Canis lupus familiaris: one gene and its partners. The protein of the gene in region 1 binds, or shares a complex with, the protein of each later gene. Links are inferred from orthologs where the notes say so. Each region holds a gene or a part of one and is shown in the gene's direction. Other genes may lie near its edges.

Region 1 (4,402 bases):
GTCCTACCACTACAGGAATTTTCTCAGCTTAGTCAGAGGAGACCCCCTTTTACTAAATACAAAATAAGACAAACCGACCTTAAACGAATACCAAAACGAATACCAAAGTCTTTAACTTACTAGCAAAGGAACAACAAAGGTGTTAAAACAATAAGCCAGTTTAGAGAGTATGGAGGGAAACAATGCTTATACTCGTAGCTAATTAAATAAAGACCCTAATAGTTGTGACCCAGGAAACCAGAGGCAGGAAGCTCTGAGACGCCAGGGGTGCCCACAGTCCATCTCAGAAACAGAAAACAATGCATCTAAGAAGCCAGTGCTGGGCATGCCCCCCGGTGGCGCAGCGGTTTGGCGCCGCCTTCGGCCGAGGGCGTGATCCTGGAGACCCGGATCGAGTCCCACGTCGGGCCCCCTGCAGGGAGCTCTGCCTGCTTCTCCCTCTGCCTCTCTCTCTCTCCTCTCTCTGTCTCTCATGAATAAATAACTAAAAATCTTTAAAAAAAGAGAGAGAGCGAGCGAGCGAGCGGGAGGGCAGGCGCCGGTGAGGGCCGAGGGAGAAGCAGGCCCTCTGCAGAGCGGGCTGCCTGCGGGGGGGCTCCCTCCAGGACCCGGCATCACCAGGGCATCACCAGGGCAGCGGAGGGCAGACGCTCGACCACGGAGCCACCCAGGTGCTCCTCTGCTTATTTTTGTTTTTGTTTGTTTGTTTGTTTTTGTTTTTTTCCTCTGCTTATTTTTGAATAAGCACCGCCAGTGAATTTCTCAAGCTGTTAACAAAATGCAGAACACAGTTTACACATTCCTGAGATCGGAGGTTTTTTTTTTTTATTTTTTTATGATAGTCAGAGAGAGAGAGAGAGAGAGAGAGAGGCAGAGACACAGGCAGAGGGAGAAGCAGGCTCCATGCACCGGGAGCCCGACGTGGGATTCGATCCCGGGTCTCCAGGATCGCGCCCCGGGCCAAAGGCAGGCGCCAAACCGCTGCGCCACCCAGGGATCCCAGATTGGAGGTTTTTAAAGCTGTTTCTTGCTGCTTGGAGGTCCTCGCTTGTGTCTAACGTGTATTCGTTCTTGCCACAGGTACTGGCACGAGCAAACGTCACTCCTAATCAGCATGGGCTAATTTTCATCAGCAGGGACCTAGCCTTTCAATTTGAAATAGAACCTCCCCAAACCACACACAAATCTTGCATTATTTTTGGCCCCATACTTTATTTATTATCTACCTTGCCTCCCCCTCCTTCAGTAAGGGATTTTTGTCTGATAATTTGCCACATCCCCAGCAACTAAAACTGCTTAGCACACAGCATTTGTTGAATGAATGCGTGAGCGAGGTATCCACAGACTGACCATCAGAGGGCGACAGAAAGACTTGGTGGAAACGGAAACGAAACGTCTCACCCGTTCGGCGGTTCCGCGAGGTTTGACTTCGCTCGGCCGCCGTAGTGCACAGGCCGGAAACGACTGGCCGGAAACGACTAGTCGTTTCCGGCTTCTGCGGTCCGAGAAGACGGTTTGGGGCTGTGGGAAACCGAGACCCAAGGGTCAAAGGCAGGTCCTTTGCGGAGCTGGGACTCCAGTCCAGGGCTCCAGGCCTGCAGGCCTCCGACGAGCCCAGCCGCCAGCGTGTTTACTCGACATAGTTCAGGGCCAGGAACCGGGCAGCGTGGGTCACCATGGCGACGCCGGCTGGGCTGGAGCGCTGGGTGCAGGACGAGCTGCACTCGGTGCTGGGGCTGAGCGAGCGGCACGTAGCCCAGTTTTTGATCGGTACCGCGCAGCGATGCGCCTCGGCCGAGGACTTCGTACAGCGCCTGCGAGACACCGATACTCTGGACCTCAGCGGACCGGCTCGCGACTTCGCCTTGAGACTCTGGACCAAGGTGTCTGCAGGGGCGGGGCGGGGCCCGGCGTGGGCGCGGCGGGAGAGCAGGTGGAGCGGGGGCGGGGCCCCAGGTTGTCTATCCAGGTGAGGCTAGGCTAACTGTCCTTGGGGGAATTAAGTAAGCTCGGTTACACCAGCACCTAGCTTTTATCCGTTGTCGCCTGGGTACTGTACTAGGTGCTGGACGTGCAGCTCTGGGGAGAAGTTCAAGGACCGTTAGGTGCTGTAGAGCAGTGTTTCACGAACTTTAATAGGCCCTTGTTTTAATGTGGATCCAGATTCGATAGGTTTGGGGTGGGATCTTAGTTTTTGCATTTCTAGCTAGTTTTCAGGTGAAGCTGATGGTCCACGGACAGCATTTTGAGTAGCAAGGCTATAGAAGAAATGTGTGAGAAGTGCTGTGGTAGGGCACAAAAGGTAAGGGTAGTGATCAGGGGAAAGCAGGCCCAAAGATTCCCCGGAATCTGTCTGATAGATAGAGAAGGGGGAAGGAGTAAAGGTGTAAAAGTGAATTCCTGGAGGACAGGACTGTGTATTGCTTGTCTTTGTATTTCTTCCACCTGACAACACCTTACAGAACAGGTGCTTAGTAAGTATATCGAAGAGTGAAAGTGTTCAACGTGTTCCTAGAATGGCAGGTAGCCTGCTTGAGTTGTCACATATGGTTCCTGGTGAAAGATGAATTTAGAATCTAAGTGATATGAGGATAGGGACTTTATGTAAATCCGTGTAGCATGTATCCCTGGAATCTGGTACGGTGCCAAACATATGACAGGCCTCTGTAAACCAATCCTTGTAGCATGTCAGTCCTTGCATCGTGATGACTTAATTGTGGGGAAGAACAGAGTCTGAGCAATTGAGAATTGGTTTTGAGAATGTAGGGACTTGCCTTTGTCCCAGGGCGTGATCCTGAAGTCCCAGGATCGAGTCCCACATCAGGCTCCCTGCATGGGACACCTTAAAAAAAAAGAAAAAAAAAAAAGAATGTAAGATAAACTCCATGAGGGCAGGAATTTTTATTTATTTATTTTTAAGGATTTTATTTATTTATTAATGAGAGACACAGAGAGAGGCAGAGGGAGAAGCAAGCACCATGCAGGGAGCTCAATGTGGGACTCAGTCCCAGGACTCCAGGATCACGCCCTGGGCGGAATGCAGACCCTCAACCGCTGAGCCACCCAGGCAGGAATTTTTGTCTTGTATTTATTCCTGTGTCCTTGATCCCTAGCAAGTACCTGGTGCATCAGACAGGCTTCAATAAATGTTTGTTAAATGAATGACTGCAAGGAGGTTCAGAAGCTGAAAGGCCCAGTTCAGGCTGATGAACATGGTGTGAAGCCATGAGGAAAAGAGACAATGAAGGTTAGTTTAAGATCAGGCCATTCCAGGCAGCCCGGGTGGCTCAGCAGTTTAGTGCCTCCTTCGGCCCAGGGCATGATCCTGGAGACCCAGGATCGAGTCCCACGTTGGGCTCCCTGCATGGAGCCTGCGTCTCCCCCTGCCTGTTTGTCTGCCTCTCTCTCTGTGTCTCTCGTGAATAAAAAAATAAAATCTTAAAAAAAAAAAATCACGCCATTCTTTAAATTTCAGAATGGGGCAAAGTAGATGGGTAAAAATCAGGAGTTGCTCACATCCCATTATCTTCCCTTCTACTGATAGGTACCACGGAAGGCGGTGGTAGAAAAGCCAGCTCGGGCGGCCGAGCGAGAGGCCCAAGCCCTGCTGGAAAAGAACCGATCCTATAAGTTGCTGGAAGACAGTGAGGAGAGTAGTGAGGAGACCGTAGGTAGAACTGGGAGCAGTCTCCAGAAGAAGCGTAGAAAACGGAAACACCTCAGGAAGAAATGTCAGGAGGAGGAAGAAGAGGAGGAAGAGATTTCCGAGAAAGGGAGAAGAAAGACAGGGTAAGTTAGAAGCAGAGTGAGAGAGGGTGAGGCAGGGGATAAGGGGGCAGTAAGCTTCCTAGGAGACCTTATGTAATCCTTTGGACTGGTTTGCAGGGGGAGTCAACAGACTGAGAAGCCGGAATCTGAGGATGAGTGGGAGCGGACCGAGCGAGAGCGCCTTCAGGACCTGGAGGAACGTGATGCCTTTGCTGAGCGGGTTCGGCAGCGAGACAAGGATCGGACTCGCAATGTCCTGGAGCGGTCAGACAAGAAGGTGCATAGGAGCAGCATGTTCTGTAAATCCCCAAGAAGATCCCTGGGTCAGATCTGAGGTTGGGTGTGATTGCAGAGATAGGGCTCTCTGGGAAGACCAGGGTGGCCTCTGGAGGTGTTCATCTCTGTAGTAAGAGGACCCAGAAGGGTCTGCTGATCCTCTGCTCAACCTGTAGGCCTAGAGATTCCCCCCTGAGAAGGGACATTTCTGTATGCTATAGTATATCCAAATGATCCTTGTGATTCTAGAGAGGGAGTGGCTGTGGGAGATTTTGGCCTCATAGCCCTGCACCCTTGGATTCTTCTAGGCTTATGAAGAGGCTCAGAAGCGCCTCAAGATGGCTGAGGAAGACCGGAA
Region 2 (3,652 bases), on another chromosome or scaffold:
AGGTAGCGGGGGAAACCTGTATTTTGTTAGGTAAGATGCAAGATATCTGGCCCAGATGTATGTGTATGATTGTGTTATTAAGTATCCACCAATTCTTGTTTTATTTTTATGACTCTACCTTTTAATTTATGAATCTTTAACTTATCTGGAATTTAACTTTGTATAAGGAATAAGGTAGATTTTTTTTCTATTTTCTATTTAATTTCTGCTTTTATCTTTATTAACTCCCATCTGCTTTCCTTAGATTTATTTTCTTTTATATTCATTCTGCCTTTTTATTTTATTTTTAAATATTTTATTTATTTAATGAGCGAGCGAGAGAGCGATATCTTGAGTAGAGGGGAAGGGCAGAGGGAGAAACGGACTCCCTGCAGAGCTGGGAGCCCAACACAGGACTTGATCCCAGGAGCCTGGGATCATGAGCTGAGCTGAAGGCAAATGCTTGACTGACTGAGTCACCTATGTGCCTCCTATTCTACCTTTTTAACAGTAAAATTCTTTAAGGTTGCAGATTTTCCCGAGCGTAGTTTTAGCTGCATCTTGTAAGTTTTGGTATATATTCTCATTTGTGTTATTTTTTAAATAGTCTACCATTGATTTTTTTTTCTTTATTTCAATTTCTCTTTCATCCAGTTGTTAGGAGAATAGGCTTCAAGTTCTAGCTTGTAGGGTATTTTTTATTTAAAATATTATTTCCAGCTGTATAGCATTGTGATTGGAGAACATGTTCTGTTTTTGGAGGTGATTGAAGTTTATTCTATAGTCCATTTTAATACATGTTTCATGGATTATTGAAATGGTACTATTTTTGTAAGATTCAGATATATATATCCACTAGTTTGACATTAATATTTAACAACATAATTGTTATATTATAGTTTATATTAATGTTATAATTATATATTGATATTAATTCCTCTGACCTTATTTTTGTCAGCTTTATGTGTTATAAACTTAAAGTGGTATGCTAAAATATAACTTTTGTTATTAGTTTCTCTTGGAATTTCTAAGAGTTTCTTAAGTTAAAATTTTTGACTTGTGAACTTATGTATAAAGTTTCATGACATATTTTTGTAATATATTAGGACCTTTTTAACAATTTTTTTTTAAATTTTTATTTATTTATGATAGTCACAGAGAGAGAGAGAGAGGCAGAGACAAGGCAGAGGGAGAAGCAGGCTCCATGCACCGGGAGCCTGACGTGGGACTCGATCCCGGGTCTCCAGGATCATGCCCTGGGCCAAAGGCAGGCGCCAAACCGCTGCGCCACCCAGGGATCCTATTAGGACCTTTTTAAGTGTAAAAGAGCTCTCTTAGTCCTGCTTAAGGGGAACTATTTTTTTTTTTTGGCCTTGAATTCATCTTCGATCTTAATATTACCACTCATTTTGTAATTGGGTGTTCCTGCTCTGTCCTTGTCTAATTTTTATTTTTAACTTTATGTCATCTTTTCCTAGATGTATCTCTTGTATAGATTATATTATTTGAATTGTTTTGTCATTCAATCTGAAAGTTTTTGCATTTTAAATCAATGGTGTCTTACTCTTTTATAAAATAAATAGATATGGGGAGATTGTTAACATTAATCTGGTGCGGGACAAGAAGACTGGGAAATCCAAAGGATTCTGTTTCCTTTGCTATGAAGACCAGAGGAGCACAATTTTGGCTGTTGACAATTTTAATGGAATCAAGGTGAGTGTGTTCACTAAGCAGGATCTGGCTGGACTTTTCCTGTATGTAAGAGTTCGATTTAATTTCCCACCTGATTGCCCCAAGTTCAAGGACAGTACTGGTCACCTGGATGTGTTGAGGGTTGTAGAGGTGTGGGGACATACTGACCAGGAAATGATCCCAGGAAATAATTTCATTGGCTTATGACCCTGCTGACACTTGTTCCTTTTCCTCATGTTCATCTTCCCAGGAACATAGGTATCATGTCCCTCACCCCCAACCAAGCCCCTGGTTTCTCACCTTTCCATTCTCACACCCTACTCTCATCTCTGATGTATTGGGCAGTAAAAAGACTAGCAAATACTGCTCTTCCATGCTATGCTGTGTCAGAGGATTTGGCGCTCTCTTATGGCTTCATCCTCTAAGACATAGCTCTGTGTGTCTGTCCTATGTCTCCACTGACTTAGCATTACTGGGCCTTGGAAATTCTCTAGATGAAGTCTGATGACAAATTCTACAAAAGTAACTCATTCTGAAGTTTTCCCTTGTCTGTTCCCTCTCAGAACACTCTTGGCCAGAGAAGGTGGTAGACAAGTCTGGCTTGTCTATGCTCTCCCTGGTTCCTCTGCTTATTTAGGAAAAGCACTGCAGTTAGATAAGCATTTTTTATAGGTTTGGGGGTGACTTTGGACTTGGAGAATTTGTCACTGATTGCAGCAGTATGGAACAGCTGAAAATCTCCATGAAAGGGGGATTTTCTAAAATGTTTTCAAAAGGGGAATAGGAAAGATGACCTTTAAGTTCAGGCTTAAAGGTAAGAATGAAACTCTGTTCTTGTATAGGAACAATAAAAGCCAGACATAAGCTTTTGGATGATTTTTTCCTATAGAATAGGTCTGTATCTGCCTGACTATTTTTAAGTGAGGGGCTAATTTTTTGTTGTTCACCCAGAGAGTTGTGATCCACAGCAAAAATAAGTGTGAGACAGTTGTTCCAGTATGGTGGGGGTAGAGCAAGGCGTGAGGGCTTAGGAAAACAAATTCCTTCCCCTTTCCCAAATATTGGTCTGCCTTGACCTCATCCTAATTGCTGTATCAAGAAAACAGCTGTAGTGCTGCACTCGCTTCAGGAGTTCTTTCTAACTGCCAGGCCATGGTATGTTTTACTGCAAATTAATGTGATTGAGGGTAATTCATTGTTTATGCATGTAAATTCTTAGTTTTCCCTGCTGCTTGTGCTTTGGGGCAGTACTGCTGAGCATTTTTTCATTTAATTGCATATGTAGAACCTGAAGGTTATTGTGTGGCACCCTGGGGTAAACTGAGGAGGCTGCCTGGTAGAGTTGCCTCAGGGACTCCAGCTGCCTACCTGATTGCCCCAGGGAGGGGCTGGGCAGATTATTATCTAGGTATATGTGCTGTGACATACCAGTTGGGCAGGTCTGGCTTAGATATTTCCCCAGAAATAGAATTAGCAGGAAGGTAAAGGGTGTAGTTTGAACCATGGCTTTCTAGGGTGTGGTTTGAACCATGGCTTTCTGCAGCTGGGTTCAAATAGTTCAGAAGTAGGGCCCTCTCTGCTGAAGCATTGCCTGTCTGTCTTAGATCAAAGGAAGAACTATCCGAGTGGATCATGTGTCTAACTATCGGGCTCCTAAGGACTCAGAAGAAATGGATGATGTGACCAAAGAGCTCCAAGAGAAGGGCTGTGGGGCTCACACCCCCTCCGTGAGTTCATCCGAGGGTTCCGAAGATGACAAACCCCCAAAAAAATACAAAAAAGGTAAAGCACTAAGACCTGAGAGAAGATTCTGGGTAGTCTTAGTGTTTGCTCCTCCTAGTATTCACTGAGAATTGGTAATCAGTTATTAGGTGTGAAAAGGAAGGGTGTGGGGAACCGTATAGTAATTGGGAAAGGAGAGGTATCAGTGGAAGACTAATATCATGGGCTGAATTCTGTTTCCCAGTTCATATGTTGGAGT
Region 3 (2,534 bases), on another chromosome or scaffold:
AATATTTATTGTAGTATAATGCTTAGCCAGTTACATATGTTTGATAAGTATTTGTTGAATATCATCATGTAACTTTCTCGTTGCTTATATATTCAATATTTACTCAATTATTGAAGATTTTACTATTACAATATTTTTATTTGTGAATCCATTGTGCTGAAAAGGCTAAATTGGGTATGAGCTGACTCTTAAGGGACATTTAACACAGAGAAATCTCTATTTCATGACCACAGATTGTGTACCTCAAGTTAACTATTGGCTCCTAAGTTGGTTAAAGGGAGTCTGGTTATGTGTGGATGACTTAGCTCAAAATCTGTTAGTAGTATAGAGCGAGGGGATGAAAGGCTTGAAGAGTATGCACTAGATCAGTAGAGTTAATACCATACACAAGTAGAACATCTTAACTCCCAAACCATAGGATGTATGTACACCTAGCAAAACCTGGACTTTTGGATCAATGCATTGTATACTATTTCAGCTTTCATCCTAAGTAGGTCAAGATTAATAAAACATGCTATCACATATTTCTGTTTAGGACAGCCAAGAGAAAAATGGATGAACAGAGTTTCTTTGGTGGATTGCTTCATGTATGCTATGCTCCAGAATTTGAAACAGTTGAAGAAACTAGAAAAAAATTACAGGAGAGGAAGGCTTATATAGCAAGAACTACTAAAAATAAAGGTTTGTAAAGCCAGGTACTAAACATCTTTTGTGTGTCAGGCAGTCTGCGAGGTGTATCATCATAGAGCCTCCCAGTCTAGTGGGAAGAGAGATAAATAATCACAATATTCATTAACTATAAACTGCAGGATTCTGTGCAGCACTCTCAAGTAATCTGGGCTGGAAAGGGAAAGATGTTAGTTTGTGACAAGAGTCCTACAGGATGAAAGAGATGGCTGAGTTTTGAAGGACAAGTAGACATTACTCAGAAGGGGAGATGGAAAGGTAAGCCAGGTAGCATGTTTAAAGAGCAGAGGAATAAGTAGACATCATGTGTATGAAGGAACTACAAGTAGTACAGGGCAACCACAACATGGGCTGCTCCTAGAAATAAGATTAGAAAAGAGGACAGGAACTGAATCATGAAGTGCCTCGTGTCTGTCCCATGCTGAGGAATTAAGGCTTGACATAAAGGCAGTGAGAAACAATTATGATTTGCAGACTAGTTACCTACTGCCAATCTAAAACTATTAAATGTGAAAAAGTCCCACTTTTGACCAGTAGCTGGCCAGAGACGCCATATGCCCCACTGAGTTTCACTAGACATAAATTCCAGGTGCCTGGAATAGGGTCTCATGGGATTTGGTACAAGGATTGTAGGAACAGAGCACTCAGAATTGGACTAAAATAATGTGTGTGGTCTGAAATCTGAATAGTCCTGGAGGCTCAGATGACCAGTTTTCCACCCTTTAGTTGAAAGACCAAGTCAGTATCCACACAGTTATTGAATATGAGGAGTTTATGACTGGGGAAGTGGCCTGTGGCAGAGGTGAAGAGAAGTAAGGAGGGAAGACTCTTGGAAGACTTATTTGAAAATTTGGCAAGAGAACTGTTGAGAGCCCATGGTCATTAGTAGACCCTGAACTTTAACCCATGGGATATGTGAATAGTTCTAGGAAAACTTTATGGTTGTGTGGCAAATAAAATTACAAAATATGGGTCCAGCATACTGCCTCTTTTAAAAATTAAACACAAACTAAGCAGCATGATACATTCATACAGTAGACTCCTCTGAAGCTGTGAAGAAAGAAGCATTCTATGTAATGACCAAGAAAAAATCTCTAAGATCTCTAAGATCTACAGTTAGGTGGAAAATGCAAAGGAACAAAGAAATGGATATTATGGAAAAAGAGGAGTTGGTGGGAGAAGGAAAAGTAAGACCTAGCTGGACAGATAAATAAGAAAGAATTGGGATTACTTATGGAGAAGTAGAAACGAGGAAGATGGGGAGCAAAGAAAGAATGACACTTGACACTAATATATTCTTTATCCTTTTTAGCTTTTAAATACAAGGTATTGCCTGCTTAAGAAATAAATTATTCAGGGTACCATTGTTAACATTTAAAGTAATGTTTGTTTTTAAAATTATAGTTTTCTGAATGATGAAAACAATAAAACATTTCTTTTTCCTCTTATCTCACCTTTTAAATTGTAATGTGAAGATCATTACATAACAAAGAAGAAACGGGTTACAGAGCTTAAAGACACAAAAGATTTCAGACAGAACTTCCATTCAGGGACATCTGGATTTCGTGCAGTCACTGTGAATACTTCTGCTGGCAACTCAGACCCTTGTCTTCCTTATTCTTGTGAATTGCCTTTATGTTATTTTTCCTCAAAATGTACATGTTCGTCAGGGGAACATATGGGTAAAGCATCCAACTTCTCTCAGGACAGTAGAAACCATGCTAAAACAATGGAGCATTGTATGCACAATGACTCTTTGCAGAAGATACAAATGAAACCTTTAAAAAATTCATTGGCCTTCCCTGGTGCACAAAAGGCTATTACTTCTTCAGAGGCAGTTGAGAGAT

The links. The genes of interacting proteins can lie anywhere in the genome.
Region 2: DHX16 (region 1) and RBMX2 share a complex: the UniProt entries of both Homo sapiens proteins name them as parts of the minor spliceosome. The link is inferred for Canis lupus familiaris from reciprocal best matches to the Homo sapiens genes DHX16 and RBMX2.
Region 3: DHX16 (region 1) and RBM48 share a complex: the UniProt entries of both Homo sapiens proteins name them as parts of the minor spliceosome. The link is inferred for Canis lupus familiaris from reciprocal best matches to the Homo sapiens genes DHX16 and RBM48.

The regions. Positions count from the first base shown.
Region 1 is NC_049233.1:613,685-618,086, reverse strand, and holds the start of DHX16 (pre-mRNA-splicing factor ATP-dependent RNA helicase DHX16), read left to right. Parts: upstream 1-1,465; 5' UTR 1,466-1,676; coding exon 1,677-1,883; intron 1,884-3,544; coding exon 3,545-3,789; intron 3,790-3,885; coding exon 3,886-4,045; intron 4,046-4,352; coding exon 4,353-4,402. UniProt on the Homo sapiens protein: Required for pre-mRNA splicing as a component of the spliceosome. Contributes to pre-mRNA splicing after spliceosome formation and prior to the first transesterification reaction.
Region 2 is NC_049260.1:102,438,305-102,441,956, forward strand, and holds part of RBMX2 (RNA-binding motif protein, X-linked 2), read left to right. Parts: intron 1-1,562; coding exon 1,563-1,692; intron 1,693-3,275; coding exon 3,276-3,453; intron 3,454-3,652. UniProt on the Homo sapiens protein: Involved in pre-mRNA splicing as component of the activated spliceosome. As a component of the minor spliceosome, involved in the splicing of U12-type introns in pre-mRNAs.
Region 3 is NC_049235.1:18,072,417-18,074,950, forward strand, and holds part of RBM48 (RNA-binding protein 48), read left to right. Parts: intron 1-535; coding exon 536-681; intron 682-2,162; coding exon 2,163-2,534. UniProt on the Homo sapiens protein: As a component of the minor spliceosome, involved in the splicing of U12-type introns in pre-mRNAs.